4 linked regions of the Arabidopsis thaliana genome follow. The protein of the gene in region 1 binds, or shares a complex with, the protein of each later gene. Each region holds a gene or a part of one and is shown in the gene's direction. Other genes may lie near its edges. The genes, in order: VIP5, ELF7, VIP3 and VIP4.

The links.
Region 2: VIP5 (region 1) and ELF7 share a complex: the UniProt entries of both Arabidopsis thaliana proteins name them as parts of the nuclear PAF1 complex.
Region 3: VIP5 (region 1) and VIP3 share a complex: the UniProt entries of both Arabidopsis thaliana proteins name them as parts of the nuclear PAF1 complex.
Region 4: VIP5 (region 1) and VIP4 share a complex: the UniProt entries of both Arabidopsis thaliana proteins name them as parts of the nuclear PAF1 complex.

What each region holds. Positions count from the first base shown.
Region 1 is NC_003070.9:22,478,986-22,486,598, forward strand, and holds VIP5 (plus-3 domain-containing protein), read left to right. Parts: upstream 1-4,118; 5' UTR 4,119-4,369; exon of another isoform or gene 4,370-4,652; intron 4,653-4,779; 5' UTR 4,780-4,831; coding exon 4,832-6,763; 3' UTR 6,764-6,984; downstream 6,985-7,613. Other genes in the region: AT1G61030 (WAPL (Wings apart-like protein regulation of heterochromatin) protein), read left to right, coding at 1-38, 252-364, 729-857, 959-1,052, 1,145-1,821, 1,997-2,244, 2,411-2,558, 2,648-2,745 and 2 more. UniProt on the Arabidopsis thaliana protein: Component of the PAF1 complex (PAF1C) which is involved in histone modifications such as methylation on histone H3 'Lys-4' (H3K4me3). Involved in regulation of flowering time.
Region 2 is NC_003070.9:29,998,451-30,006,813, reverse strand, and holds ELF7 (hydroxyproline-rich glycoprotein family protein), read left to right. Parts: upstream 1-2,730; 5' UTR 2,731-2,844; coding exon 2,845-3,440; intron 3,441-3,518; coding exon 3,519-3,587; intron 3,588-3,667; coding exon 3,668-3,775; intron 3,776-3,859; coding exon 3,860-4,040; intron 4,041-4,129; coding exon 4,130-4,206; intron 4,207-4,289; coding exon 4,290-4,409; intron 4,410-4,838; coding exon 4,839-4,944; intron 4,945-5,176; coding exon 5,177-5,263; intron 5,264-5,368; coding exon 5,369-5,437; intron 5,438-5,525; coding exon 5,526-5,594; intron 5,595-5,686; coding exon 5,687-5,830; intron 5,831-5,927; coding exon 5,928-6,071; 3' UTR 6,072-6,276; downstream 6,277-8,363. Other genes in the region: AT1G79740 (hAT transposon superfamily), read left to right, coding at 99-99, 187-1,740, 2,047-2,447; AT1G79720 (Eukaryotic aspartyl protease family protein), read left to right, coding at 7,863-8,040, 8,279-8,363. UniProt on the Arabidopsis thaliana protein: Component of the PAF1 complex (PAF1C) which is involved in histone modifications such as methylation on histone H3 'Lys-4' (H3K4me3). Involved in regulation of flowering time.
Region 3 is NC_003075.7:14,594,188-14,600,645, forward strand, and holds VIP3 (Transducin/WD40 repeat-like superfamily protein), read left to right. Parts: upstream 1-3,371; 5' UTR 3,372-3,540; coding exon 3,541-3,879; exon of another isoform or gene 3,880-4,036; intron 4,037-4,343; coding exon 4,344-4,970; 3' UTR 4,971-5,113; downstream 5,114-6,458. Other genes in the region: MKK2 (MAP kinase kinase 2), read right to left, coding at 21-245, 388-522, 778-889, 978-1,054; homolog of CFIM-25, read right to left, coding at 1,860-1,931, 2,065-2,175, 2,276-2,362, 2,451-2,524, 2,615-2,708, 2,809-2,854, 2,946-3,130; MTO2 (Pyridoxal-5'-phosphate-dependent enzyme family protein), read right to left, coding at 5,247-6,458. UniProt on the Arabidopsis thaliana protein: Component of the PAF1 complex (PAF1C) which is involved in histone modifications such as methylation on histone H3 'Lys-4' (H3K4me3). Involved in regulation of flowering time. Required for the expression of the flowering repressor and MADS box gene FLC.
Region 4 is NC_003076.8:24,602,390-24,611,160, reverse strand, and holds VIP4 (leo1-like family protein), read left to right. Parts: upstream 1-3,435; 5' UTR 3,436-3,632; coding exon 3,633-3,749; intron 3,750-4,012; coding exon 4,013-4,344; intron 4,345-4,513; coding exon 4,514-4,643; intron 4,644-4,766; coding exon 4,767-4,967; intron 4,968-5,289; coding exon 5,290-5,466; intron 5,467-5,832; coding exon 5,833-5,964; intron 5,965-6,164; coding exon 6,165-6,344; intron 6,345-6,433; coding exon 6,434-6,562; intron 6,563-6,651; coding exon 6,652-6,741; intron 6,742-6,834; coding exon 6,835-7,086; intron 7,087-7,177; coding exon 7,178-7,315; 3' UTR 7,316-7,527; downstream 7,528-8,771. Other genes in the region: AT5G61170 (Ribosomal protein S19e family protein), read right to left, coding at 1-3; AACT1 (anthocyanin 5-aromatic acyltransferase 1), read right to left, coding at 1,022-2,380; AT5G61140 (U5 small nuclear ribonucleoprotein helicase), read right to left, coding at 7,850-7,933, 8,036-8,167, 8,253-8,402, 8,499-8,669, 8,759-8,771. UniProt on the Arabidopsis thaliana protein: Component of the PAF1 complex (PAF1C) which is involved in histone modifications such as methylation on histone H3 'Lys-4' (H3K4me3). Involved in regulation of flowering time. Required for the expression of the flowering repressor and MADS box gene FLC.

The sequences.
Region 1 (7,613 bases):
GATGGAGAAGGCGTGCTTGTCCAAAATCTCTTTTGATGGTACTTTAACTTCCTGTCTGTTTTGCTGGAACAATGACTAGCTAACTATTTAAGACGCATCTGGTATATTATATTGAGTTATAGAATTGGAAAGTTATGTTATCTGCTTCAGTGAATCAGTTTAACAAATGTGTCAGCGGTAATAGAATCCTACGACCAGATTATAATTGATTTATAAATTTCTAATTATTGATATTATCATTCCCCATCCAGATACCTCTGGTACTGTGAAAAAATCTGGAGGAATGTTCAAGGAGAAACTGAGAGAACTTGGAGGACTTGATGCTGTCTTTGATGTTGTTATGGATTGCCACACTGTAATGGAGGTGTGAACCTGTATGTTATAGGGATCTTGCTATATATGTCTTTATTTGGCTAGGACGTCAATAACTTGTGTAAAGTGTCGTAGATTGGTAGCTTTATAATTGTTTGCTATCTTCAGGTTCATGTTTTATTTCAATCTAATTTATTGCTGAAAATCGTTGCAAGTCAAGGTTCTTTTCTTGTCCTTGGGCAAGAGAATTCTCTTGTTTGTGTAACACAGTTTAATGTTATTGTGACTGCGTTTGTTGTGGACAAGTTGGATGTCTGTCTTAGTGGTGGCAAAGACTCTGTACTTAAGTTGTCAATAGTTACTGGACCTTTGCAACTGTATTTAATAAGAGTCTCTATTGCATATTTTGTTTGCAGAGCTGGGTGACTCATGACACACTCTCTGTCGAGGATATAAAAGATGACTTGAATAAGCAGAGTCTGATGTTACTTCTGAAATGTCTAAAAATCATGGAGAATGCTACATTCCTCAGCACAGAAAACCAGGTAACTTTTATTTATTTTGGATTCCCAGCCTCATGATAGCTTGTATTGAATAGCTCTGCAGTTTGCACCTAAAAAATAACTGTACATAATATATCTTTCAGATTCATTTGCTCAGACTTAATAAAAGCATGGGTTCTCATGAATCCCGACTGTCTTTCACAGAGCTCATGATAAGTGTCATCAAAATACTTTCAGGTACCCATTCCTATATTTGGATTTTACCACCATGACTTGCTTCGTATGTTATCATCTCTTATGCTGATGGCTGGTTGGAATGATTACACCAGGTCTTCAGTTACGTGCTCACAGGAACGAAAAGCATCCTCACCCTCAGCCACATCTAGCTTCTGCTGTTAAGAAGGGCTTTGTGACAATTATTAGTTCAGATACTTGCTCTACCACTGGCTTTAGCTCCATAAAAAGTTTGAGCGTATCCAAGAGAAATCAGTCTGCATTCCTGGTAGGTTGCTCAACGACACCAAAGCCGGGGTCTCAATCAAGTGTAATGTCGACAATTGATCACTGCACGCTGACGACTACAGCTGGTTCCAACACTGGGTCGTTTGCAGGCAGATTAGCCTCATTGGGTAGTGGCATTTCCAGAAGTAAAACAAGGACTAGCCAAACTAGAGAATCCAGTTGTAAAAAAGTTGAAAACTTTGCATCCTTCGAGGATAGTCAAGATCCTTTTTCATTTGATTTAGAAGATTCAGGACCTTCCAGATGGGCAGTAGGAAAGCAAAAGAAATCTAAAGGTCAAAAGAGGAAGGGAAGCTACAGAGATAAGAAAGATGAACGCTCGCTTCAGCTCTTCTCGAGCCAGGAGGAATCAAACCATGGTTTAAATTCTCAGGAGGAATCAAGTGATAGAGATCACCATGTAACAGAGCAACCTTCTTTAACATATGACATTGATAAAGGATGTCTCTGTCTTTTATCTGATTGCCTTTTAACAGCCGTGAAGGTAATGTACAGTCTTTTTAACAATTACTTTTCTGTTATGTAACAAATTTCTGCAGCTGGAATGAAAATATGTTTGGACCAGAATGGAATGTCACCTTTTATGCTAATCTGTTTAGATATGTGAGGATATCATGTGATCTTTTGCTACGTTCTGATTCTGTTGAACATATTTTCAGGTATTAATGAACCTAACAAATGGTAATTCTGTTGGTTGTCGGGAAGTTGCTGCCTGCGGAGGACTGGAGAGCATGGCTGAATTAGTTGTTGGACACTTTCCTTCCTTCACCAGATCTCCGCTTTACAGTCAGATGGAGTCCGGGACATGCCACCAGAAAGATAAACATCTCACAGACCAGGAATTAGATTTTCTTGTTGCCATCCTGGGGCTACTGGTAAACTTGGTGGAGAAAAACGGAATAAACAGGTACCAAACTGCTCTTTTCGATTTACATCTTTATGTCAACTCAGGAAAACATAGTCACTGATTGTCTTTTATGCAAATGGGGGGAACTCGTGATTTCATAATATTATGATCTGACTCGTACCCATGTCTTGAAAAATATTCGCTAATCAGTTATTATTTGGTCCAGGTCAAGGCTCGCGGCAGCTAGTGTTCCGATTACCAATCCAGAAGGGTTACAAGATAGTGAACAAGACATGATCCCTCTTTTATGTTCAATCTTTCTCACCAATAAAGGATCCGCAGACACCAAAGATGAAACGAGTACTTTCACTTTGGTTGGTATCTAATCATTGTTTTCTTGTCGAATTTAAATAGCCCTTAGTAGAAAGTATGTCTTAAAACCTGCTCCTTCCTCATGTTTCAGGACGATGAAGAAGCTGTTTTAGAAAGCGAAAAGGAAGCGGAAAAGATGATCGTGGAGGCATATTCTGCCCTTCTACTTGCATTTCTATCCACAGAAAGGTTATTTATCTATATCTTCCTTACTACCTTTTTAAGTATTCTAATTCTCAAAAAGTTGTAACATAATCTCTTATTCTTAGCAGTAGAAGTATACGAAATGCCATCAGAGATTATCTCCCAAAACGCGACATGGCAATTCTGGTACCCGTGTTGGATAGATTTGTGGTACGTTCCTCTAAACCCTTCATATTTCAGTCTTAGTAGTCGATGTGGTATGCGCACTGAAACCTTTTGATGCGACCATGTACTTGTTCTTACTGTGTTAGGCGTTTCATACAACACTGGACATGATTCCTCCAGAAACACATAAAGTGGTTATGGAAGTTATCGAGTCGTGCAAATTGCCATAGAACGGAGGGAAAAAAACAGGCGACATCTTCGTTCTCCTCTCACTGTACAGCTTCTGCCACACTTTGGGTTTGCTCCACACTTATAGTTAGTGGTCTCACACAATGGAACATGTTACACGTATAATATGGACACAAATAGAGTATCTTTTAGTTCTTTCTTTTGAGGTTTTGTTTTTTTGGTTCAGCTTAGTTTAGTAATTCACATCCCCCATTCTTTTGTACTTTTGTCATACAAAGAAAGAACAAACAGATATATAGAAATAGATTGCTTAATGAGAGTTAATCATATCGTATCTTAGTATATCGTTTATTTGTGTGCTCAAAATCACATTTTCTTTGTTATTCATAATCATCAATATTGGAATTACGAGGCTTAATGAAACTATGAAAGAGTCATAATTTTCTAGCCTAAAGAAAAAAATTCTTTTTTTTTTCTGACTCATTTTCCTCTAGTATAAGAAAATATCTTTGTTTTTGAAAAAATATATTAATCAATACTCACATGATTAATTCCAATTTATGATTGAGAACGAATTAGTGATAAACTAAGATAAGTGATAATTTATAGTTTTGCAATAGGAAAAGTGTAATTAAAATCAACATTTTTAACAAGTTGAGGATTTTAGTGATATTTTAAACGACGAAACGAAATAAATATCAAACTTATGTCGAGTTTTCAAATAAATACCAATTTTGTTGACTTTCCAAATAAATACTAAACTTTCGTTGACCTAGTCATATTAGACATGCCGTTAAGTGGGATAACACATCCTGTTACAATTAAACGACGTCGCTTTGTTTTTATAAAAAGCAATAACGTTTGAATTAACGGGTATGTTAATAGAAATTTAATTTTGTTAACGGGATCTGATAATTTACTTAACATCATGCTTAACATGACCATATTAACAAAAATTTGGTATTTATTTGGAAAGACAACATAAATCTGATTTTTGTTTAGAAAATCAACGTAAAATTAATATTTGTTTCGTTTTGTTAGAAGTTGAGGATTTAAATGAATGCTTTCAATAAGTGGGGAATTTTAGTGACATTTTTCCCGTTTTGCAATATTTACATTGAAGGGGTTTTTCATTAAATATATAGTTTTTCCCTTGTTCAGCTCTTCTTCTTAAAAAATAAAAAGACTTCAGCATCTGCTTCCTCTCGACAATTTCGACATTACTCTTTCGTTTTTCACCCCTTCCTTCTTCTCCTTTAGCCGCCCGTCGTCGATCTCTGCAACACTTTCCGACGATTTCTCCGTCTGATCTCAAGTGAGTCTCCTTCAACTTTTCTCTTCTTTTCTATACCCTTCCCTCTCTCTATTTCCTTTTCTCCGCCACAAACGGCTTCTGCGTTCCCTGTTTCCGCCGTCCTTACCTCTTCCAATCAAATTGAAGATCCATACCAGAAATCGATCCTTCTCCGTCTCCGAATTCGCTTGATTAACCTCAGAAACTCGTATTGGTTTTCGCAAAACCGCGATTTGGCTTTAGACTTCACCGTTACCTGATTGGGTGAAAAGTTTTCCTTAACCCTATTAATGGCTTATCTAGGGTTAGAATCCAAAGGATTGTTTTGCTCTTGTAGTTAGCTATCTACTGGTTTTTTGTGGTATACACCGTACTTGACCAATGTGGTGAGGTCTTTTGCTTCTCTAACTGTATACTTCTCATAATTTCAGGTGACAGTGAAAACCATTTAAATTCGTTACTTGTGAGCCTCCTTAGAAGATTATGGGTGATTTAGAGAACTTGCTTTTGGAAGCTGCTGGGAGAACAAATTCAGCAGGGAGGAGTCGTCATCCTCCATCATCGAGGAGACGTGAGGGTTCTTACTCTGATGGTAGTAGCGATTCAAGGGATGATTCTGATGAAGATCGTGGCTATGCTAGTAGAAAACCCTCTGGGTCTCAAGTTCCTTTGAAGAAGAGATTGGAGGCAGAGAGAGAAGATCGAGCTGCTCGAGTTGAAGGTGGTTATGGTGATGGACCATCTGATCGTGAAGGTGACAGCAGCGAGGAGTCTGATTTTGGAGATGACCTTTACAAGAATGAGGAAGACAGGCAGAAGCTTGCTGGAATGACTGAGTTTCAGAGAGAGATGATTCTCTCTGAACGTGCTGATAAGAAAGGTGATAAGAACTTCACTGAGAAACTTAGGTCCAAGAGAGAAAGTGAGAAAACCCCTGTTTCTAAAAAGGAGACTCAGCCTCTTCCGGCCTCTCGTGGTGTGCGTTCATCTGCTAGATCTGCAGACAGAGCCGCTGCTAAGGATGATGCCCTGAATGAATTGAGGGCGAAGCGTATGAAGCAGCAGGACCCAGCAGCTCTCAGGAAACTGAGAGATGCATCAAAAGGTGGTTCAGGTAGTCGAGATTTCTCATCAACGAAGAGGAAACCGTTAGCTTCCTCCAATTTGAGTAGTTCCAGCCAAAGTGACAGTGATAGTAGGTCTCAGAGTGATGATGAAGGCTCGAATGGAGGAATGCTAGACAGTGATGATGACAGGTCAGATGTGCCTACGTTTGAGGATGTTAAGGAAGTTACCATTAGACGGTCTAAGCTTGCCAAATGGCTAATGGAGCCTTTCTTTGAAGAGCTTATAGTTGGGTGCTTTGTGAGGGTTGGGATCGGAAGGTCAAAGAGTGGTCCAATTTACAGACTCTGCTGGGTGAAGAATGTTGATGCAACCGATCCTGACAAGACCTACAAGCTAGAGAATAAAACTACACACAAGTACCTTAACGTCGTCTGGGGAAATGAAACCTCGGCGGCTCGATGGCAAATGGCTATGATCTCAGATGGTCATCCGCTGGAGGAAGAGTATAGGCAATGGATCAGAGAGGTTGAGCGAACAAATGGTCGCATGCCCACAAAGCAAGATATATCGGAGAAGAAAGAAGCGATACAAAGAACAAACAGTTTTGTTTACTCTGCGGAAACTGTTAAACAGATGCTGCAGGAGAAAAAATCTGCGTCAGTCAGGCCAATGAATGTTGCGGCCGAGAAAGATCGGCTTAGAAAAGAATTGGAAATTGCGCAGAGCAAAAACGATGAAGCAGGTGTAGAGAGGATCAAGTCGAAAATCAAACAGCTCGACGCTTCACGGAACAAGAAAGGGGTAGATAAAAAAGCGCTTAAACTTGCTGAGATGAACAAGAAGAACAGAGCCGAGAATTTCAAGAACGCATCTGAGGTAAAATCAATAACTGCTAGTCTCAAAGCCGGTGAAGCAGGGTATGATCCGTTTTCAAGAAGATGGACCCGATCATCAAACTACTACAACGGGAAAAACAAGGGGAAAGATGGAGAAGAGAACGAGGCAGCGGTTGCAGCAGCGGTTGAGACCAATGGAGCAGATGCAGGAGCAGGTGTTGAAGCGACAGAAGCAGCTTTAGAAGCAGCTGCAGAGGCAGGAAAGCTAATAGACACAAGAGCTCCAATAGGTCAAGGAGCAGAACACAATCAGCTTCATAACTTTGAATTGTCGTTATCGCTAACGGCTTTACAGAAGTACGGAGGACCTCAAGGAGTACAGAAAGCGTTCATGGCGAGGAAGCAACTGACCGAAGCAACTGTGGGATGCAGAGTCGCAGAGAACGATGGCAAGAGACATGGCCTTACGTTAACTGTTAGTGATTACAAGAGAAGGAGAGGTCTTCTCTGATTTATTTGCATTTTTTTCAAGTCTCAGTGTTTCATTATCTTCTGAAAACTGCTTCTTGGTTCTTCTTTTCTTCATATCTTTCTTTTGTACTCCACAAAATATGTTTAGATCAGTTTGTTTTTTCTTGAAATATTTTTGTACTCGTTTTTGTGTGAACTCTCCTGATTAGTGTATGACTGCATGAAATTAGAAAATCAAGTCTTTTGCAGTTTTGCTACTCTTAATTAGATGAATTTAGTTATGAGCTAATTAACAGTTCAATATTAGTTTGGTTTTGTAGAAGTTAGTGATTATGCAATCATCATGCTCGTGTATGGATCGTGGACGATAAAAACAAATTACTCGTAACACAATTGAAAGAGAAGTGTTGACTTATCAATAAAATCCAATATCTGTCATTATAATGCAAATATATTTTATAAGAATAAAATCTTTTTTATATTAATAATTTATTATACAAAAAAATATACCATTGAGTTTTAAAATACATTTCAACCACCAACCTTATTATTGCATATGGTGAGTCAATAATTAGTGTTTCAATTGCTCAAGAAACCGATTAAAGTCATGGTTATGCTTGGAAACTATCTCTTGCATGTGTTTCCAAGTAATGAATCATATAAGGTGAATAATATTTTTCTAATTGGTCTGGTCTGATTGTTTCTAGTGAGTTTCTTCCATGGATAACCATGATTGGTCCTAATTGACATTTTTAGCTATTTACCTTATTAAACTAACTAAAAACCTAAAATAATACTTTTATTAATTCTAGTAATTTGATACATCAAAACTAGAACTCTACCACACTCTTCATATGATAGTTAAGTAAAAAACTATTCGCACTTATTAT
Region 2 (8,363 bases), 7.5 Mb from region 1:
ATCTAGAATCCTCCATACATTTCTTATTTCCTTACTAGGGTTTTGTGTGTGTTGGCAGGTGGAAGCTGACGAAGAACAACATCATATATCATTCACCAAGTAAGTAATGTAAAGTAAAGTAGCAGCTCTATTTATTTTCTTTCCTATGATTGAGATGAAAAATTCGATTGTTGTTGTGTGAGACAGTGGTACGAGAAAAAGATATCTGCTGGGAATACGCAGAGAAACTAGATGGTAACAAGGTTAAATGCAAGTTTTGCTCTAGAGTTCTTAATGGCGGCATTAGTAGATTGAAGCATCATCTCTCTCGCCTTCCCAGTAAAGGGGTTAATCCATGTGCCAAGGTTAGGGACGATGTTACTGATAGAGTTCGTTCCATTTTATCTGCCAAGGATGATCCCCCCATTACCAACAAGTACAAGCCTCCACCACCTTTATCTCCTCCGTTTGATGCTCCTGCGTCCAAACTAGTCTTTCCTAGTTCTCCTCCTAATGCGCAGGACATTGCAGAGAGGAGTATTTCTCTCTTCTTCTTTGAGAACAAGATTGACTTCGCTGTTGCCCGCTCACCCTCTTATCACCATATGCTCGACGCCGTTGCCAAGTGTGGTCCTGGATTTGTTGCTCCTTCTCCCAAGACTGAATGGCTGGACAGGGTTAAGTCAGATATTAGCTTACAACTGAAAGACACTGAAAAGGAGTGGGTCACCACCGGCTGTACTATCATCGCTGAGGCATGGACCGACAACAAATCACGAGCACTGATTAACTTCTCCGTCTCTTCACCTTCCAGAATCTTTTTTCACAAGTCTGTCGACGCCTCCTCATATTTCAAGAACTCAAAATGCCTTGCTGATCTCTTTGATTCTGTCATCCAAGATATTGGTCAGGAGCATATTGTGCAAATCATTATGGACAACAGCTTCTGCTACACTGGTATCTCAAACCATCTCTTGCAAAACTATGCAACCATTTTCGTCTCCCCCTGTGCATCTCAGTGTTTGAACATCATCTTAGAAGAATTCTCCAAGGTTGATTGGGTCAATCAATGTATATCGCAAGCGCAGGTCATATCTAAGTTTGTCTACAACAATAGCCCCGTGCTAGATTTATTGAGAAAGTTAACAGGCGGGCAAGATATTATCCGAAGCGGTGTCACAAGGTCTGTCTCCAATTTTCTATCATTACAGTCAATGATGAAACAAAAGGCAAGGCTAAAACACATGTTCAATTGCCCAGAGTATACCACAAATACTAACAAACCACAGAGCATTTCATGCGTGAATATCCTAGAGGATAATGATTTCTGGAGAGCTGTGGAAGAAAGTGTGGCTATTTCCGAGCCTATCCTGAAAGTGTTGAGGGAAGTTTCTACTGGAAAGCCCGCTGTAGGTTCTATATACGAGTTAATGTCCAAGGCCAAGGAGTCAATACGGACATACTACATCATGGATGAGAATAAGCATAAGGTCTTTTCTGACATAGTTGATACTAACTGGTGTGAGCATTTGCATTCACCTCTTCATGCAGCAGCAGCATTCTTGAACCCCAGTATTCAGTATAACCCAGAGATAAAGTTCCTCACTTCCTTGAAAGAAGATTTTTTCAAAGTGTTGGAGAAACTTCTTCCTACTAGCGATCTACGGCGTGATATTACAAATCAGATATTCACTTTCACTAGGGCAAAGGGAATGTTCGGCTGTAACCTGGCCATGGAGGCGAGGGATTCAGTTTCACCAGGTATGGACAATAAATACATTTATATTTTCTTTAAGTCATGACTAGTGAACAGAGATGTATAGGTAGTCTGAGTCGGGAGAAAAATAATCCACTTATCTATGACCGCAATTAAAGCTATGGTCTTATTACACAACTAAATAAGTCCAGGTTGATATAGCCTGGCACGTAGTAAACCGAATTGCAAAACTAGTAGATATCTTCCCCTCACCAGGCTATTAGGGGTATGGTCTGGGATCTTTAGAATTGGTAACGAAGCACTAGAAGACTAGAAGTTGATGTCTAATAATGGTTTGCTTAGTAATGCAGGTCTCTGGTGGGAGCAGTTTGGTGACTCAGCACCTGTTTTGCAGCGGGTGGCCATCAGAATACTAAGCCAAGTTTGCAGCGGTTACAACTTGGAACGCCAATGGAGCACATTCCAGCAGATGCACTGGGAAAGGCGAAACAAGATTGACAGAGAAATATTGAACAAGTTGGCGTACGTGAATCAGAATCTAAAGTTAGGGAGGATGATAACCTTGGAGACAGACCCAATTGCCCTGGAGGACATTGACATGATGTCGGAGTGGGTGGAAGAGGCAGAGAATCCCAGTCCTGCCCAGTGGCTTGACCGTTTTGGGACCGCCCTTGATGGAGGCGACTTGAACACCAGGCAGTTTGGCGGTGCTATTTTCAGTGCCAACGACCATAACATCTTCGGCTTGTGAAGTCCTGGTAAGAGGTTTTCATAAGTTGGTCCAGCGTGTTGAGTGTTTAACCACACACCTCGGTTCGCTATACTGTACATAATGTTTGAGTAATTATCAATGTAGAAAATAAATATTTTGTGTTCCTCACACAGTCACACGTCGATGAGCTTGGTGGTACAAAGCATGTTTCGTTCATATTTGGGATTCATAAAACGGTGAGCTTAAGATTGTTTTTGTTTGTATTGAAGCCGTAATTATCAGAACCCATATGATAGTAGCGGTTATTGGGCCGCTAGTGAGGCCCAAATTAAAGTAAAAAGGAAAAATCAGTCTGACCGGAGCTATATAATTAATATATATCAAGAAGACTCGTTTTAGTTGGTTTAGGTGATTCAGATCACAAAGTACACCGAGAATGGCGTCGTACCGGCCGCCGTATCCTCCTCTTCCTCAGCCACCATCTCAAAATTCTTTGGCCCCTCCGCCTCCCCCGCCGTCGTTACCCCCTCCTGTTCCTCCCCCACCACCGTCGCATCAACCGTACTCATATCCTCCGCCGCCGCCTCCTCCTCCGCATGCTTACTATCAGCAGGGGCCCCACTATCCTCAATTCAACCAGCTCCAAGCTCCTCCTCCTCCGCCACCTCCCTCAGCTCCTCCTCCGCTCGTTCCCGATCCTCCTCGACACCAGGGTCCCAATGACCACGAGAAAGGGGCCTCCAAGCAGGTTGGAAGGCGGGAGCGTGCTAAACCGGATCCATCGAAGCACCACCACAGGTCTCATCTTCCTCATTCTAAGAAAATCGAGACCGAAGAAGAGAGGAGGCTTAGGAAGAAGAGGGAGTTAGAGAAACAAAGGCAAGACGAAAAACATAGACAGCAGATGAAAAATTCTCACAAGTCTCAGATGCCCAAGGGACACACCGAGGAGAAGAAGCCGACGCCCCTACTCACCACCGACAGGGTCGAGAATAGGTTAAAGAAACCAACCACCTTCATCTGCAAGCTCAAGTCAGTATTCTTCAAACGACTACCTAAATCTTTTTTACATATTATTGTTAGACTCTGATATTCATCTTCTTCTTCAAGGTTCCGGAATGAGCTCCCTGACCCTAGTGCACAGCTTAAGCTTATGACCATTAAACGGGATAAAGATCAGTATGTTTCTCTATTATTGCCAAATTTTATTTCTGTGTTATTCTACTGTCCTTACTTGCCAGCTATTTTGATCCCACTAGATTTACAAAGTATACCATCACATCCCTGGAGAAATTATGGAAACCAAAAATCTTTGTCGAGCCTGATCTTGGAATACCCTTGGATCTGCTTGACCTAAGTGTGTACAAGTATGTGCTCTCAATAAAGTCTTAGTGTCTTTAATGCCAGCGACCTCATCTACTGGGGATACTTACTGTTGTAGCTCTTTTCAGCCCTCCCAAAGTCAAGGCACCTCTTGCCCCTGAAGATGAAGAACTCTTGCGTGATGATGACGCTGTTACACCTATTAAGAAAGATGGCATCCGGAGGAAAGAAAGACCTACTGATAAAGGCATGTCTTGGCTCGTCAAAACACAATACATTTCTTCTATTAATAACGAATCGGCAAGACAGGTATCTATCCATCTCGCTTGTTGGAAATTTGTTTTGCCATGTATAGCTTCTAGAGACAGTTTCCAATTTCCTATGTTTACCTTGTGTAGTCGCTAACGGAGAAGCAAGCAAAGGAACTGCGAGAGATGAAAGGAGGCATCAACATCTTGCACAATCTTAACAATAGGTGTGTTGTTTCTCAAATATGTGTATTTCTAAGGAAAGTGAGAAAAAAAAAGGTCTAATGGTTTATTTTTCTTTGGTCTCTAGAGAGAGACAAATCAAGGATATTGAAGCATCCTTTGAGGCATGCAAGTCTCGACCAGTTCATGCCACCAATAAAAACTTGCAGCCGGTTGAAGTTCTACCACTGTTGCCATATTTTGATAGGTTGGATGCTCTTTATTTCCCCTTGCAGACAATCTTAAATCTGAAATACCGAATCAGGCAAAATTTTCTCATAATAGTCCTACATGTAGACACAGCTTGAAAGCTGACACTTTACAGATTATCTTTATGTTGGCTCTCTCTGAAGGATCTCCTGTGGTCGGAAACATGCACGAATAGTTTTCCTATAGGATAGTGTAATCAATCGGGTGGGAAAATAGGCAGCCTTGTTAAGGTCTAACTATACAACACTTAAGAGAGATGTTGGGTCTTTAATTTTTCCCTTTTCTCTGCTCCAACTCTTGTTCAAATGTTTCTTTGCTAGGGTTTTAGTGTATTGCCTTTTGGATGAAACATCCACTAATAATTTTCACTGAACCTGTAGCATACTATGCTATTACATTTGACTCTCCCCTTCCTTTTTTGACACAGGTACGATGAGCAGTTTGTGGTAGCGAATTTTGATGGTGCTCCTATAGCTGATTCTGAATTCTTTGGCAAGTTGGACCCTTCAATTCGTGATGCACATGAGTCACGGGTGAGTTATGAGTTACCGATATCCATGAGTATGGTCCAATTATCTCTGGTCTCTATCATAGGGATACTTTGTTCCTGAGAGAAAAGATGACTGTATCAACTATATCGTTTTTGTTGCTTACATAAGTGTACTTGAATGAGGATAGGATATATGATATATGGGGCTGAATCTTAACTATGGTTGATTGCCTTATTTTCATATTGATGACGAGCTCTGACCTCATACTCCACAGGCCATTTTGAAAAGCTATGTGGTGGCTGGATCAGACACTGCCAATCCAGAAAAATTTCTGGCGTACATGGTTCCTTCCTTGGATGAGGTAGACATGCCTCTCCATAAACTGATCTCTCTTTTACACAAATTTTGACAAGTCAAGAAAAGTTCAGTTTGATTGATGTGTTATCAATTTATGTTGCTGTGCCAGTTGTCTAAGGATATCCATGATGAAAACGAAGAAATCTCTTACACTTGGGTTCGCGAATACCTCTGGGATGTATGTACTATAGCCAATGTGGTTTAAGTGAAATTTTGATTGTTTGAGTTGCAGATTGAAATAAATATGTCACCTGATGTTATAACAGGTACAACCCAATGCAAACGATCCTGGCACATACCTGGTATCATTTGACAATGGGACCGCTAGCTATCTGGTATTGCATCGGTTTTTGTTACATATTCCAGTTGTGTATCTTTTTTTTCTTCTGTCTATAATACTTTGGGATGACCGTTGAGAATTTGGCAGCCCCTACCCATGAGGTTGAACTTGAGGAAGAAAAGGGCCAGGGAAGGAAGATCTTCTGATGAGATTGAACACTTTCCAGTACCTTCAAGGGTAACTGTAAGGCGGAGATCAACTGTATCAGTGATAGAACATAAAGATTCAGGGGTATAGTAAATCCATACATTTAGCCTTTAAAAGAGTAACACGTGGAAAGTTCTAGTTCTCTTACCAATTCCTTTGGACTTTGGGGCTTTGGATGTAGGTTTACTCTTCTAGGGTTGGTGCTTCGAGCTCCAAGATGAGAAGATTAGAGGACGAAGGCGGCCTTGGTAGATCTTGGAAACACGAGCCGGAACAAGATGCCAATCAATATAGTGATGGTAATGAGGATGATTATTCTGAATGAACGTTTCGTGTACCTCAAACTATTGAATCGGTTTTGCAATGGTTTTCCTGCAAGGCTATTGTAGGCTAATTTAAAAGCGTAATATGGCCTCCACCACAGCTTTGTAGTTTGGCAAGTAAAGAAATTTTGATTTGGATAGCTGGCGAAGTTGAAAAACGATTTTACATGTACACGTCCATAATTAATGAATTGGCCATTTACGACTTTGATCCTATCTAATGTGGCAGCTCCGTTCATCTTCAGTGGCTATGTTCATGAGAACACATCCCTGAGAGAATTCCTTGTACAGAGAAGCCTTCTTAGATACTTACTTACACTGTCTTTCTACCAGAGCTGATTAGAATCTGTAATAATATTATACAGGTTCTACTACCAGTAATTAATTAGGATGGATTAGAGCAAATCTTGTACTGTAGTAGATCCCAGTGTTGCAATTGTGGTTATTTTACAGGTTCCCGAAAATATGACATTTTCAAAATTTCTTGTACAAATGAAATTATTATGGTCCACTATGTTTTCTTTTACGAAGGGCTTTTTCTATTAGGTGGGCCTATTATTATATGAAACTGGGTTTCCTCTTGTGTAGCCCAGTGGGCAGTATAAAAATCAGCCCAAAACATAACTGCGAAATTCAAATTCTTACCCACTCGCACAATTAGCGCGTCGACGCCACCTCCTCAAAATCTGTGGACCGTTTTTGGCTGTTTTTGGTAAAATTAAAAAATTGGGCGCGTGAGGGAGTTTTCTATTGAGGAAAAAAGCAACCGTTTTTGACTAAATAATGTAACGTTTTATTTGTGATTTGTTTGACTGGGAAGCTCTGCAATGTGAATATATTTTATTTACAACTTTCTTCTTTCGATATGTTTTTTACATTATTTTTAAACAAGTTTACATTCTTATTGTTTCATTTATTATTTATTTATTTAGTTATTTGCTTTTTATAAGTATCTTAATGTAGAGATTTTATAAAAATTTAAAATGTCAATTACTGAAATGACCAATCACATGTGGACTTCGAATATAGATTTAATATTTTCCTTTCCTAATAATATGGATAATAATATATATTTTAATAACAAAATTTTGCATTTTTCTTCTTTTCATATGATTTTTTTTTTCTTTTAAAATTACATTTTCTCTTTGTATGTCTATTAATTTTTTTCTCTTATAAATATCTTGATATGGAAATTTTATTAAGTTTTAAAATGTTAATTGCTAAAATCAGTTGTGTTGATTTGTGATTGGCTGAAAAAAAATATAAAAACAGAAAAAAAAAAAAAAGAGACAATGCCTTGTTTTTAGTTATGCTTAAATCTAATCATTATTCAAGCTATTGTTGATACATACAAATTTCCTTAATCACTGCTATCAATTTCAAACGTTTATAGATTTTAAAAAATCTGTATAATAACATCAAAGATTAAAATAAAATGGTGAGAATTTTAGCACTAGCGGCCAACACTTAACATCAGTAGCACCACCATCTCACGTTGAATTTTATTTTTGTAACAAAAGAAAATTAACATATACTAAAAAAACAACCAAAAGACATTGCAAGTTTTTAGTAATTTGGTAACAAAATTGCAGTAATTCACGTGAATCCCCAATAATTTGATCTCATGCACACATAGTGGGGTCCAATCTTTTTTGTTCATTTGCCACTTCTCGCCAGCCTCTCCTCTTTTGTTCTCTTCACTACCTCCAAACTTCCCAAGAATCTCTCTTTCTCTCCTCTCTTCTCTCTCGCCTCTTCTTTAATTTCCTCTGAAGAGAATCCTCCTTACGAAAATGTTCAAGAAAGCAACATTGAATCTTTCACTTGCTCCTTTGCTACTTGTTTTTCTTTTCCTTCTCTCGTGTGTTGTTCATGGCGTCGATGAGAAGAAGATTCTCAGTGTACATAACAACATCTGGTCTCCCAAGAAATCATACGAAGCTTCAACTTCATGTTTTTCTCGCAGTCTTGGTCAGTTCTATTTTCATCAAAGGCTCACCAACCGTAGAGATACTGTTTCTTTTGCTTTAGTTTAATATTTAATGGCGTAATTTAAGGTTAAACTCTTAGTTAAAGTCATTAGCTTTTACACTACTTTATATTATCCTTTTTCCTTGTATTGATTTGGGATTAGTATAGTTACTTTTTACAAAGAGACAAGATTTGTTGATCTTTATGAGAACTGATGATTCTGCTTTGAAAAACTTAGGAAAAGGAAGAGAATCCACTACATTGGAGATGAAACATAGAGAACTTTGCTCAGGAAAGACTATAGATTTGGGTAAGAAGATGAG
Region 3 (6,458 bases), on another chromosome or scaffold:
GTGTATCCTGTGTTTCTTACTTGTCTAAAGATGGCAGAAAGATAGGAGTCAGGGATGGCTTTAACTGACTTGAGAAAGTCTGCTAGAGATCCTCCGTCCATGTACTCCAAGATTAGTGAGATTGCGCCATTGTCATAAAATGACTGGTACGAGGTAACAAGATTTGGACACTGTGACGATTGATTTATTTTGAGCTCTTGTGCAATTGCCTTGCGAATTGCTTCATCAATATTTAGTTGAATGACCTAATCATATAGCATCAGAGTTATGCACAGTGAGTGACAAGGCAAGGAAGAAAAAGATTTGTAAATCTTCAAACACAGAGAAAAGATGAGGAATTTAGCTCATCATATACATAAAAGAATCTGAAGGTTAACCAATGAGTACCTTCAAGGCGAAAAATTGGCCAGTCCATTTGTGTTGAACCAGCTGAACAACACCACTACTTCCTTTGCCAATGACTTTAACCATATCCAAATCCGACAAGCTCAGCTGATCATCAGCTGGCTTAATTGGAGACAGCTGAAACACAGTCGCAAACGAAACAGATTACAAACAGTAATCTAGAAGATATGAGCTTAATCCCTGAGTTTCTCTATCCAGAACTACAGAAATGATCTTAAGAAGGTTCTAATTATGATCAGATCCACCAACCACATTACAGTTAATGCATTCAAACTCAACAAAATCTTCATATGCAGTACAAATAAACAATCAAACCTAACACTCGCGAAATTCAGTAAAATCAGCACCGAACGAGGAAGAGGAAAGACTTACGACTTCAGGCTCCAATTGAGAAATGATTCGAACTCCATCCTTGTTAACACGTAGATCTCCATCCTTAAACGTACCGCTTTGAGTCCTACAGAGAGAACCAAAACCTTTCCTCCTTCAAAAACAAAACCAGAGACATTTCCACACACAAATACATCTATCTATCCACAGATCCATGGAGAAAGAGAGATCGAGAAACATACAGGAATTTGGTGATGGATTGCTCGCCAGCAACAGGAATTGCGAGCTTGAGATTATTGCTGAATCCACCTTTCTTCATCGTCTTCGTCTACTTCGTTCTTCGCTTCTTCCTTTTTGTTGTTTCCTCGTCATTATATATTAAGTAAAACACAGTTTTAAGCATAATTCATGTACTTTTCAGCCAGAAATTGGAATTTGGAAATAAAACAGCCATTAATTAATATTAGTCAAGCACATGTTCACGACGTTGACCAACGACTTAGAGACTTTCCCATTTACTACTTCTTTTTCCCGGTTTTCTTTGACCGAAAAGTTTTAATCCACATTTTAACCGGAAACAAACCGGTTAATTCAGTGATTCTTCGTTCTTTAGCTTTTGGTTTTTAAACACTCCCAAAATCACCACTACAACAAAACGCTAACGCAGAATGCCAAACTAACGTTTGATATTTATAGAAAGTTTTCAATATTTCAAATATTGTTTGATCAAATACAATAAACACATATAACAAACAGTAAAATCTTTACTTATGTTTCTCGGTTTCATGTTTGAAGATAACAAGGTTTTCTTCAACAAGGAATATACAAATAAGCATACACCCCTATATTTGTTTTACTCATGTATACATTCAATTACACATCGAAATTATCACACAAAGAAAAATTGTTTCGAATTGATTAATCTATCTATCAGTATACTTCATGTCTAGTCTCTATAACCAACAAGAACATGCTATTCTTCAACATTGTCTATATATTATAAGCCCTATATACATTATATAGTCACAGACTCAGAGAGGCTCCACAAACGATTTCCCCAAACATAATCCTATCACAAATTGCGGGGGGCAAGAGCTACTAGAGGCAATGATCATGAGGTTCGTTCATATCTCCATCATGTTGAAGGAGAATTTCGAAAGAAGCTTAGGAATTTGCGACATGATCGGCCCATAAGTCTGCAACGCATAAATGAAACATCACAACACATAATTAAATACAGCTTGATTGACTGACCCTGTTAGTTTTACCAGGAACATCGATTAAAAGTTCACGATGAGTTAAGGGCAATGCAAGTAAGATAGTACATACCTTTTCATTTTCATGGAGTTGACACAATGGAACAGCGAGGAGTTTGAAGTTCTTAGGCACAACAAACTGTTGATGTACCGGTAATCTCACAAGAAAAAGCTTTGTGCATTCCTACACAAAAGATGAGGATAGAGCAGAGCTTTTAGTATAAGCGCAAATCTTCAAAAGTCTCAACTTTTTCTTACAATGAAAGTGAAACTAACTAACCAACCTTTGGGTGTTTAATATTAGGTGGCAAGAAAGGATACATCAATGTCTCAAAGTTGGGTCTCCACCACATCCCAATACATTCTCCTACCTACAACAATGTTGTAATTAGAGAGACCATTCTTAAGCCAGAAACAATCAGATACAAAAGCACTTTAACAAGAAGCCATAGTTCCTACCTCATAACCCGAAACACCCACATTTTCGTTAACCGATAGCTTTGATGCTAGTTTCCGTTTTAGACCTTCAATATCTAGAAGATTAAGGAGAAACATGACTTTAGCGTTTAGAATTGAGACAGCGATATTTATGCATAAAGATGCAAGGAAACAGCATACTAAACCTGATTCTCCAGGTCTCAAACGACCACCAGGAAGCTTGAAAATGGAGTTTCTATATTGAAGAAGCAAAACATGAGGATGCTTGAACAACTCAACCTGATGTGTCCCAACATTAGATTTTAATCAATCCTTTCAAACCAATTTTCCCTGTAAAACTTTTCAAAATCCCTAATTTGGCTACCAACTATAAAATTACCAGAAGAACAGCTTCAACGCAAGTTCTCAATCCATGAGCAGCATAACTTCAAAAGAAACAAAAAAGAAACTTTAGCTATAGATTAAAACAATAAGAAAAAAACCAGATGATCTAAATCACATCAAAACTCGATTTACTTGGATTTCAATCTGATGACTCGATCAGAGATAATCTCGTCCTTGACGCGAAGAGCTTCTTTTGAACCGAAGTAGTAGCTGCTAAGCGGGTATAAATCAACCATCAAGTCATGAACGACATCGTTTCGTCTCGTCGTGTTGTCACTGATCTCCTCCATATCTAACGCTCGAGCTTCTTCACCCATTTTCTGCCCGTAAAATTCAAAGACGAGAGCTAAAAGCGATCTCAATCGATTAAAATTAAATAACAGAGAGACCACGAGAGCAGAGAAGACGCAAGAAGAAGAGTGAAGAAAGGTGTCGTAGTCGGATCACTGAGACGTGGCGGCTCCAGAGAGTACTTCTCCGCAATTAGCTGACGACGGCGGGAGAGTGAGGAAGAAGATATTAATGGGCCTGTTACGATATTAATGGGCCTTTAGTAGTAAACAAGAATACGGAACGATGTTAAACACTCTATTGTTTCCAACTACTAAAAACGACGCGAGTTTCTATTTTATAACTAAAAAACGAGAATCAAAGTCTCTGTTTCAAATTTGGGTCTTTTGCTTCTTCTTGCTCACTTGAGGAAACACAGTAAAAACCTAAAAAGAGAATGAAACTCGCAGGTCTGAAATCGATCGAGAACGCTCACGAAGATTCCGTTTGGGCAGCGACGTGGGTTCCGGCGACGGAAGATCGACCGGCGTTGCTTCTGACTGGATCTCTTGACGAGACGGTGAAGTTATGGCGACCGGACGAGCTGGATCTTGTGCGGACTAATACTGGACACTCTTTGGGAGTAGCAGCTTTGGCTGCGCATCCTTCTGGGATTATTGCAGCATCTTCTTCGATTGATAGCTTTGTCCGTGTGTTTGATGTTGATACTAATGCTACGATTGCTGTTTTGGAAGCTCCTCCTTCTGAGGTTTGGGGAATGCAATTTGAACCTAAGGTAATTGACTCAATGAGATTGCCTCCAATTTTAGGGTTTTGAAGGATTTTGGGTTGTTTTGTGGTGAAAGAATTCGATTGCTTCATTGAATTTCACTTCTTAGTTGCGAGTAATGCTTCTCCTGATCTATATAACAATGCTTGGGTACTATATGGAATTGCTGAGTATCGTTTGAATCTGTAGCTCTGATCAGATAGGGTCATCTACTCTGCTCGGAAAATAGATCTAGATCATCTTCTGATTTTTCATTGAGTCTTATATAGTAGATTAAGAACAATTTATTGGTGCTTTGATGATAAATCTTGATTTGGTATGATAGAATTTTGACCTGGTGACTATCAAGTATCAGTGCAATGATCTCTCTTTTAGTTTGCAGTGGAGTTTTTATTTGCTTCTGAGCTTATAATTTCAACATTACTCTTTAGAATGGTGCTCTGCTAACATAGTATTTTACATGTTCCAAGGGTACGATCCTTGCTGTTGCAGGTGGAAGTAGTGCCTCAGTCAAGCTTTGGGACACTGCAAGCTGGAGATTAATCTCAACTCTATCAATCCCACGCCCAGATGCACCAAAACCTTCCGATAAAACCAGCAGCAAGAAATTCGTTCTCTCGGTGGCTTGGTCTCCTAATGGGAAACGACTTGCTTGTGGTTCAATGGATGGTACGATCTGTGTTTTTGATGTTGACCGCTCAAAGCTACTTCACCAGCTAGAAGGTCACAATATGCCTGTAAGGTCCCTTGTGTTCTCCCCTGTAGACCCGAGAGTCCTCTTCTCTGGATCAGATGATGGGCATGTGAACATGCACGATGCAGAAGGGAAAACGCTGTTGGGGTCCATGTCAGGGCACACGAGTTGGGTGCTGAGCGTTGATGCTAGCCCAGACGGTGGAGCCATAGCAACCGGCTCAAGCGATAGAACTGTGAGGCTATGGGATCTTAAAATGAGAGCTGCGATTCAGACAATGAGCAACCACAATGACCAGGTTTGGTCTGTGGCCTTTAGACCACCAGGTGGAACCGGTGTCCGGGCTGGTCGACTTGCTAGTGTCTCTGATGACAAGAGTGTATCGCTCTATGATTACTCATGAACAATTCGGTTTTTTGACTTTTTTCTTTTATGCATTCTCCAAGACGCATCTAGTTGTAACAATATAATCTGCAACAGGTTGATTTTGACCGGAGTCTTTAGATTTATCGCTTACACAAAAAACAAAGAAGATAAAATGATTCAAACTTTGCGATAGAACTTTATTGGAAAACTGAGAAACAGATAAAGATCACAGAGAGATGAGTTGAAGAGTAACGCAAACAAACGTCTAAAAGTTTTCAAAAAACAAAACAGCTAAAGATTATGGTCTTGTCTCTTATGACGTAAGTGTATTACTTCCTAAGTAACTCTTGAGAACATCCATGACAGCTCCGAAATCTGCTTTCACATCAACAGGAGGATTGGAGAATCTGCAAGCCATGTCAGGGATGGCATTGGAGTGATAATCTATCTTAGACTGAGTAAACTTCAACCCATGAGCAGTACTCACTACCACAGTTCGATCAGTCGGTGCAATCACTCCTTGATTCCTCAGCTTGAACAGAGCAGTTAGAGCAACACCTGTATGAGGACAGATAAACATTCCTGTCGAATCCGCTTGAGCCATCGCATCCATCAGCTCCTCCTCTGTGGCTTCTTCTACAATACCATTGCACTTCTTGAGAGCGTACACAGCTCTATCGATGGAGACAGGGTCACCGATCTGAATCGCAGAGGCGAAAGTGGTACTTGCAGTCATGGGCTTGAAGTCCTTCCAACCAGACTTGTAGTGCAAGTAAAGAGGATTAGCATTAGCTGCTTGTGCACAGACCATCCTCGGGATCCTATCGACAAGTCCCAGTTCTTGACACATCTTAAACCCTTTGTAAAAGGCATAGATGTTTCCTAGGTTACCTCCAGGAACAATCACCCAATCAGGAACTTGCCAATCAAACTGCTGCAAAATCTCAATAGCTGCAGTTTTCTGCCCTTCTAACCTCAAACTATTCAACGAATTCGCCAAATAAATCGGCAATTCCGCAGTTATCTCTCTAATCAGCTTCATACACCCATCAAAATCAGTGTCAATACTCAAAACAAACGCACCATTAGCTATCGGCTGAACCAGCTGAGCCATAGAGATCTTGTTCGCCGGTAAAAACACAATCGATGGGATTCCAGCGGAGGCGCAGTAAGCAGATAGAGCAGCAGAAGTATCTCCGGTGGAAGCACATCCGACACCAACCACAGGTCGTTTCATCTTTCTCAGACGATTAACTTGACTAACCAAAACAGTCATTCCAAGATCCTTGAAACTTCCTGTATGACTAATCCCACAGTGTTTCACCCACAGATCATTCATACCTAGAAACTGCTTACCAAATCTCTCTGCCCAGAACAGATTCGAGTTTCCTTCAAAAGCTGAAACGATGTCGTCGTCATCGATCTCAGGAAGAACCCACTCTTTCTTCGACCAAACACCCGATCCATAAGGCCATGTGCTTTTACCAACACGCGAATCGAAGAGATCACGCCAATACGCGCCATC
Region 4 (8,771 bases), on another chromosome or scaffold:
CATTGTTGTCGCGCCTTTGATCCTTCTTCTCCTCCTTTGTGCTGCGGCGTCGGCGATACTTGAAGACGGGATTGAGGAATTATGATAAACGATTAGGGCTTTTGAGGAGTGTGTGTGAGCGGATTTTACATAACTACCCTTATTGTTTTAGCCTATGGGCCTATGACATATATTCGGCCCGCTAAACTCTGAACCCTTTGGAAAATATTGTGGTCCCACGTTTCTGAGAAAATTAAAACAAGGATTTTTTTTAAAAAAAAATTTTTTATAGATAAAAAAATAGAACAAAAAATAATATCACAATTTCGTAAATTATTGTTGTTTTTCCGAAAAAAAATTCTTTGTGGAAAATACACGAGTAGTCATATGTTATTCATCATTTTTCTATTTAAAAGTTTACTAAAAATCTGGTGAAAAATGATATACATCTTTTTTGTTACTAAAATTGTTTTTTGTTTATCTAAATGTAAAGATTAGTACCCACATTATTTAATTGTTTTGTCTATCTAAATTCATGTATTTTTAGGGGAATAATAAAACCAGTTACCAAAATTTAATATAGGGTTCAGGAAATTAATAGAAGAAGAATAATGAGATTGATTTACACAAAATATGGTAATTGAGTGGGGCAAAAATAGGATTTGAATTTCGAGTAAGGGGGTCAATTTAATATTTGAACCCAAATTATATACTAAATACCAAATAATTAAGCTATTAAATTTTTTTTTGTAAAAGTCATGGGGTCAAGTGACCCCCCTCCTGAAGCTGTACCTCCGCCACTGCGTATCACAGCTTTTTTTTTCTGAAATCAAAGTTTCGATTTTTCAAAGTAGGGGGAAATAGATTCACTGATCATGAAAAGTCTACTAATATTTCAAATATGGATGATTATTGTACCCCAAAAAATAGAATTCAAAAGACAGAATCAATACAAATTTGCGTAGTACATATAGGGCAATTATTGAACTAGAAATAAAAATACAAATAAGCAAAAGCTGGGATCGATTAAGACCGTACGTTTTCAGTTTCCAATCCATTTGTAAAATAAAGACAGAAAAGTATCCATCTCAAGTTTCTTCAAAGAGATGCCAATCTCGACGCCACCGATACCATCTCTCCTCTTGGACATAGAGAACTCATCGTTCTTGTAGATAGACATTGTCTCAGTGTGAATGGGTCTTCCCCACCCGAAGTCCGTTTCGTACATCCCAATCTGGTTCGACCCGTTTACGACCAACAACTGTGTACCCCATTTCATTGTCTTTGTTCCTTCCTCATACACTTTCCAAGTTGACTCTACCCCTTGTGAAGCCAAACGTTTGACCGAATCACTGAGAATCTCGACGGTGTTGACAAATCCATCTTCTCCCATAAACTCCTTAGCTTTGTATTTATAGAAATCCATGGCTAAGACACAAGTCCCGAAGTATGTCACAGGGACTGGTGGTTCTAACCGGTTCCTAAAATCAGCAGCGTACATGAAACGAACCGGTCGGTTTGGGTCACCACTACGTGCCTTCACCATGCATGTCCACACATGGGCGAACGTGACTACGAACGTTGACAAGTGAAGCTCAGCGCGTGTTGACTCTTTCTTGGCTCTCTCCTTGAGTTTCTCAATGTTTTCAGGACTTATCTCGATGGTGATTCGGAGGACGTTGTCTTTAGCGTTAATCTCTTTGACTGGAGGTAGCTTTAGGGTTCTTCCGTTCTCTTTGTCGTCCTCCGTAAGATACGGCAGAAGTTCGAGCATCTTTTGTTCAAGTCCGGCTGGAACATTGACGACAGAACGATCTAAAACCGTTGGTAGAATTTTCGGTATGGTGCCATGTTTACAAGTGTGAGCCCATGCTTTGTTAAATTTTTCAGCCGTTTTGCCGTCCAAGACGACATGGTGGGCTGTGGTTCCAATGCAGAAGCCTTGTTTCGGGAACAAAGTGACTTGCAGAGATACAACAGCCCCCGAGTCAGAATAAATCGGTAGCTCGGGTATTAGAGGGCGTAACTCTAGCTCTGGACGAAGCCCTCTGCCAGAGATACGTGAGAAATCCGCATCAGTCTCAGCCACTGTGAGAGAGAGTGTGTCTCCTGAGAGAACAACTAAATGCGGCTTTGGATCTTGTGAATCCCACTTAAGGTGACCCGTGAATAGGCGAAAGTGAGTGAGGATGAGTGAAAGAGATCGCTCGAGCTTGGGGAGGATGGAGGAGTAGAAAACGTCGCGAGATGATGATGATTCGGTGAGTTTGTAAAAGAAGACTTGCTCGGTAGGGTTGAGTTTAAGCCACTGTAAATCAAAGAACGAGAGTGGGACAATGAGCGGGTCGACGGAGGCGGTTGCAGGGCTGACTCGGGAGATCTTGATCACCTTTAACGCCATTTCTCACTTGTACTCTCGTCTTTTAGATAATATTCCTTTGTACGTATGAGTTTATTCAGCTGAGTATCAGATGGAGTTAACTCTTATACTAACATAACAAGCTACCGAGTCAGCCCTAGTCAAAAACGTTGGTTGGAAGCCAAGGCACGTAATTACCATTTGAATTATTTTGGTCCCTCCAGAGGCGGCCAGGCGGCTTAAGCCAACTGCGACTGCCAGATATCATAGATAAAAATTGTTATATATATATATATATATATATATATATAAAATATATAATTTTATTTTTGTGGTTTATATTTATTATTTTTGGTGGTAAAAACATTCTTAGAAGATAAATTTTTGTAGATAAAAGGCTGAAAAATAAATTTATGGAAAATATATAAATAAACATTTGTGAGCAAAATGTGTCTACATAAAATTGTAATTTTCTCGAGTTAAAAAAAAGCAAAAAGTGAAATTTCCAAAAGCCTTAAACTAGTTTGAGTAATTTAAAAGTGTCCATAGTTTTTTCTTTTTTCTTTTTATTCCATAATTTCTTGAGTTTTTCAGAAATTACTATAATTCTGTTTAAATTTTCAGGATTTCCTGAATATTCATGATGTTTAGTTGTCACTTAAGTTTTCATAGAACACAAGTCGGTTATGCTTTTACCTAATCTTTGTCTCTTGTTAATTTCTAAAGCAGATAAAATCTATAAACCAACAACAATGTTTTAGAAGAAGACATAACATTTATTTTGGCAACTCAAGTTATTTGATCAAAGAAGTTAATAATTAGTTTTTAAAATAAATTAAATATAAAAAAATAGGGGCCAAAAGAATCAGTTAAAAGGATGTTGTATCATTCATATACATAGGGGCCAAGGCAAACACAAGCTCACTATCACAAAGAAACTGGTATCCATAACCCAAAATTTGTGGGCCAAAAATATTGAATTCCAATCTCAAAAAAGCCCATAAAATCCCATCTTTTTTCCCTCTCTAGTCGTCGTTACACGTAAAAAAAATGATTTTTAATAATCCGGTAATGCGTTAAAAAAGATATATCGATGAAAATTTCCTTTTCTTTGTAAGTTGTAACAATTGTTTTTAATAATAATAATTCTGATGCCATAAAATCGCGAGGTAGAGATGAAAAAAAAATAGCTTCTTCAACAAAGGCCGATAACAGTGAACCCTTCGTCGGAGCTCAGATCACGAGCCGCCGTCACCAGCTAAGAGGCAGTGACTTTTGAGTAAGTGAGGCGAAGATGGTTAAAGGAGAAAAGAGATCCGAGATGATGCTTAATCTGTTCGGAGATAATTCCGAGGAAGAAGAGATCGAATCCGAACATGAATGCAATCGTCGTCAGCCTAACTACGCTTCCGTAACTCTCTCCATCTTTATCTCCTTCGTTTCGTCACTATTGATTGTTTCAGTTTTCGTATTTTTCACTGCCACTGTTCTTCAATTACACCTTGGAATACGAATGGTTTCTGGAGTTCTTCTCGCTTGAATTTAGGGTTTTAGGTTAATTGCAGGAACCAATGCAACTTATTAGGCCTAATTCAGCTTCAGTTCTTCTTAATATCAACTAGACTAAGATATCAGTGAAATTGTGGCTGAAATTTCCAATGTAAACACTGATAGGATGAGGCTGAGGGCGGGGTGGAGCCTGAAGGAGAAGGTGAAGCTGAGGTTGAAGTTCACGGAGAAGCTGAAGCTGAGTCTGACGGGGAACAGGGAGATGTAGAACTTGATCCTGGAGAAAGTGAGGGTGAGAGGGAGCAAAGTTCACAGGAGGCTGATCCACAAGAGGAAAGTGAAGCAAGAGATAGTGATAGTGATAACAAAGAAGAAGAACATGGGGGTAGAGTAGCCAAAAAGAGGAGACAGGAGGTTGTTGAGAGCGGATCAGAGAGGTCTGGTGAAAAGCATTATGAGTCTGAAGATGAAGAGGTTGATCAGACTAGGAGTCCAAGGTACCCCTTTTTCCATTCTTTTTTTTCCTAGCTGTTTCATAGCTTCTTTTTGATCTTTTCTGTGCTCTGGATTTAATAATACTTGCTAGTCCTCTGAGGTTCCTTGGATTTTCAAATTTCTTATGGATCACTTTGTCTTTTGTACATGGAAATATGGCGTGGTGGGTAGATCACCTAGTGAGGAGAAGGAAGAGGTTCAAGTTGCACAGTCAGACGTAAATATTCGTAATGTTTTCGGATCTTCGGATGATGAAGACGCAGAAGAATATGTTCGGAATGACGTTGAGCAGGATGAACATGTGAGTCTTGCATCTAATATTACATTTCAGTTTACAGAATATCTGTTTCCTTTCCAGTGTTTGCTTCCTTTTAGAAACCATATGAAATTGCATGTATGTATGATGAGATGTCTAATTTTGTAGAGATCGCCAATCGAAGATGAAGAGGGCTCTGAGAAGGATCTGAGACCCGATGATATGGTGCTTGATGATATAATCCCTGAAGAAGATCCTCAATACGAGTCAGAAGCTGAACATGTTGAAGCTAGGTACAGGGAGAGGCCAGTTGGTCCCCCTTTGGAAGTGGAGGTTCCTTTCCGCCCTCCTCCAGGTGACCCCGTTAAGGTATACCTGCTTTATGTTGCTAAAAGATTATTCGCTGACATGGCTTCAAATCAATAGTTTCCTTTCTGGTATTTCCAAGTTACCAAAATCTCTCATATCATTGTGGTTCGAAGAGTGAGTATCTGATGTCTTTTATGTGGAGAACCATTGCACTGAAACATGCTTCTACATTTACTTAGCATGAAGGGCCATTTGGTGTACATGAGCGTGCTATTCTGTTTTATATCTGAAACCCCATTTTCTAGTTGTCTATCTGTAGTGAAGATGTTCTGTAGCAAAATTGCGCTTCCTCATATACCGTTTTCTCTTTGATCTTTTTCAGATGAACATGATAAAAGTTTCCAATATCATGGGGATTGATCCAAAGCCTTTTGATGCCAAAACATTCGTTGAAGAAGACACATTCATGACAGATGAACCCGGAGCAAAGAATCGTATCCGTTTGGACAATAATATTGTTCGCCATAGGTTTGTTAAGAGTCGAGATGGCAAAACATATGTAAGTGAACACTTCTTCAAAGCTTTTCTGCTTTTAAATTTTCCATCAAACCTGCAATGAAGCTATGTAGTTTGCCTATTACTAGTACTTCTGATGCAATGATGTATTATAAGTACATACTTTTGATGCAATTTATGTATTCCGAATTAGTTTACTTTGTGCTTTTCACTACGGACATGTGTTCATATAGTTGGAGATGAAATTTTATGATATCTCTGTTCAACAGTTCTTCTTATTCTTTAGGCTTCATTAGAAATCTGCCCATAAACAAGAATTCTTGGTTTTGTTGCTTATTGCACACATTTCTTCTACTTTTTCCGTTACTTTTGCTGTAGTAAACTCAAGTCACTCTATATTCGTATGCAGAGTGAAAGTAATGCTCGGTTTGTAAGGTGGTCAGATGGAAGCTTACAGCTATTGATAGGAAACGAAGTTCTTAACATAACTGAACAAGATGCAAAAGAAGACCAGAATCACCTCTTTATCAAACATGAAAAGGTGTTACTTCGTCATTCCTTCTGCCTTAGTTAGCGATCAATTTGTAGTTGCTCCAGCCTCCTAGATACACTGATTCATTTTAGAGCACCCATACGATTCTCTATACTAAATGACAAAACTTCTCATTAGGAAACCAAATGTCTCCTGCATTCCAACTCTGCTATATCTCAAAGTGTTGTCTTATTTGGATGTTGGTGTAGGGTATCCTTCAATCACAAGGAAGAATTTTGAAGAAAATGAGATTTACCCCATCATCGCTGACGTCAAATTCCCATAGGCTCTTGACTGCCATTGTTGAATCGAGGCAGAAGAAGGCCTTCAAAGTTAAGAACTGTGTCACTGACATTGACCCTGAGAGGGAGAAGGAGAAGAGAGAAAAGGTTACCTCTTAATTGAGCTCAGACAATCCAACAATAGTTTTATTGCAGTGTTTGTAGACTTTTCTCATTTAATATCTCAAATTCTGAAGGCGGAAAGCCAAAACCTCAAGGCTAGTACAAAGCTGAGTCAGGCGAGGGAGAAAATCAAGCGCAAGTATCCACTTCCTGTTGAAAGGAGACAACTTTCCACTGGCTACTTGGAAGATGCTCTTGATGAGGTCTGTTTGATTAGTTTGTGTATATTGGGTTCTTCCATTTTCTAAAGCAAAGATTGCACTAGTAACGACTGATTGTTTCTTGGAACCAGGATGACGAGGATTACCGCTCAAACCGTGGCTATGAGGAAGATCTCGAAGCTGAAGCGCAACGGGAACGCCGGATTCTAAACGCCAAGAAGGTAAACAAAACAAAAACTCATATATCTCGGAATGCAAAAAAAGCATTAGAAATTGAACTAATATTCAACTGCTTCTCACTGGGGTAAAACCAGAGCCACAAAGGCATTCCGGGGAGGTCTTCAATGACTTCGGCCAGACCGTCAAGACGTCAAATGGAGTATTCTGAGAGTGAGAGAGAGGAATCAGAATATGAGACGGAAGAAGAAGAGGAAGAAAAGTCACCGGCCCGTGGAAGGGGCAAGGATTCAGAAGATGAATATGAGGAAGATGCAGAAGAAGATGAAGAGGAACGAGGAAAATCTAACAGATACTCAGATGAAGATGAAGAAGAGGAAGAGGTTGCGGTACGCAAATTAGAATGTTCTTCCATTTTTATTGTTGTCAATGAGGAAGTTCATTGAGATTGTAATGTGTGGTGAAATGTGGTTTATGCAGGGAGGTAGGGCAGAGAAGGATCACCGTGGAAGTGGCCGGAAAAGGAAAGGGATTGAGTCTGACGAGGAGGAGTCTCCGCCTAGAAAAGCTCCGACTCATCGTCGTAAGGCCGTGATTGATGACAGTGACGAAGATTAATCATGTTCGTCAAATCTTTCACTCTCCTTTCGTCCATTTGTTATAATGTAGTCTGGAATTAGACTCGTTTTAATCAAAATAAAGACAGAATCATGATTTTTTTAAATTCATGTAATAATGGATTTTATTTCCCTTCTGTAACTGTAATGAATAATTGGTAATTTGATATGGAGATAGTTCAAAATAACGTAAACTTGTTGACCCAAACAAATTTACCAAACAGACTGTCACAGAGTAAACACATTTAGTTTTAATCTCTTGATTAATTTATTATGTAGTCATGTAGCCCAATTTTTTTGTAACACTGTTCTACATAACGTTATGTAAAATTAACACATTTACCTTAAGCTCTTCATTATTTTTCTTATGTATCTCAAAAGATCTGTAACACTGTTTTATTACAAAACGTAAGGTAAAATTTGGTTTTACATTAAGAAGACGACAAAAAAAAACCAGAATTTTAAGAAAATTTTGACAATATATAAAACAAATTCCAAAAAAATATGGGGTTACTACAATCCATCATCTAATGGCTCATCCGCGTCGTGCAAGTTGTTCAATGGAGTGTTCTTGTTCAAACCCCAAATAACAATCCGAAACTAAGATGAGTTTCGTATCCTGGCCAAAAAAAAAAAAACCAATTCAGCAATAATAATATATACATAGAAGTGTAAGAAAGAATGATTTAGTTTGAGAAAATAAGTTGAAAATTGTTTGTACCTGAAAAGAGGTTATATTGGGAGGTAACTCCATGCGTGTGATCAGACGACCAGTGAACGAAACTCTCTTCACAGCAAAGAGCTCAGAAGTTGAAGTATCACCAAGAACCAACCACCACGCTTCGTCTTTCACCTATAACACAAAATAAACGTGTTGAATTCAATTTCATTTTTGTTTCGAGCTCAAACTAATCTGTGGTTAAGTCTTTAAGTGAAACCTTTGGGAATCGAGGGGCCAATGCCCTCGAGCTATTCCTCTTTGATGTCTTTTCCAATCTGATTTCCAGCGTTGAAGGCTTTTTCTTGCCATCGGAATCCTTCTTTTGGAGTCTCACATTCATTTGGATCCGTGGGAATCGTTGGAGATCCTAATTAAGATCGAAGAGTGCAGCAGAGAATAGTTGAGACTCCATGAGTGAAAGTATTAAATGCAAAAGAAATAGTTGTGACCAATTTGAGAGCACCTGAGATAATCTTGATGCAGGGAAGTTTTCGGTTACACTTTGTAGAGTTTCCCTTGGAAGATTTAATAGCTGATGTAGCGTGTGAATCCCTCTTGCGGTCAGAGATCCTAGAAGAAGGTCATTCATGCATGGGATCATCCATAATGACGAATCTTGATCAGACCACATGCCCTAGAATTAAAAAGAGAATTGGATTCCTCTTAATTTGCAAAAGTGAAATAATTTGAACAAGCTAAGAGTAGTAATCTTCAGGACACTACCTGCATGACCATT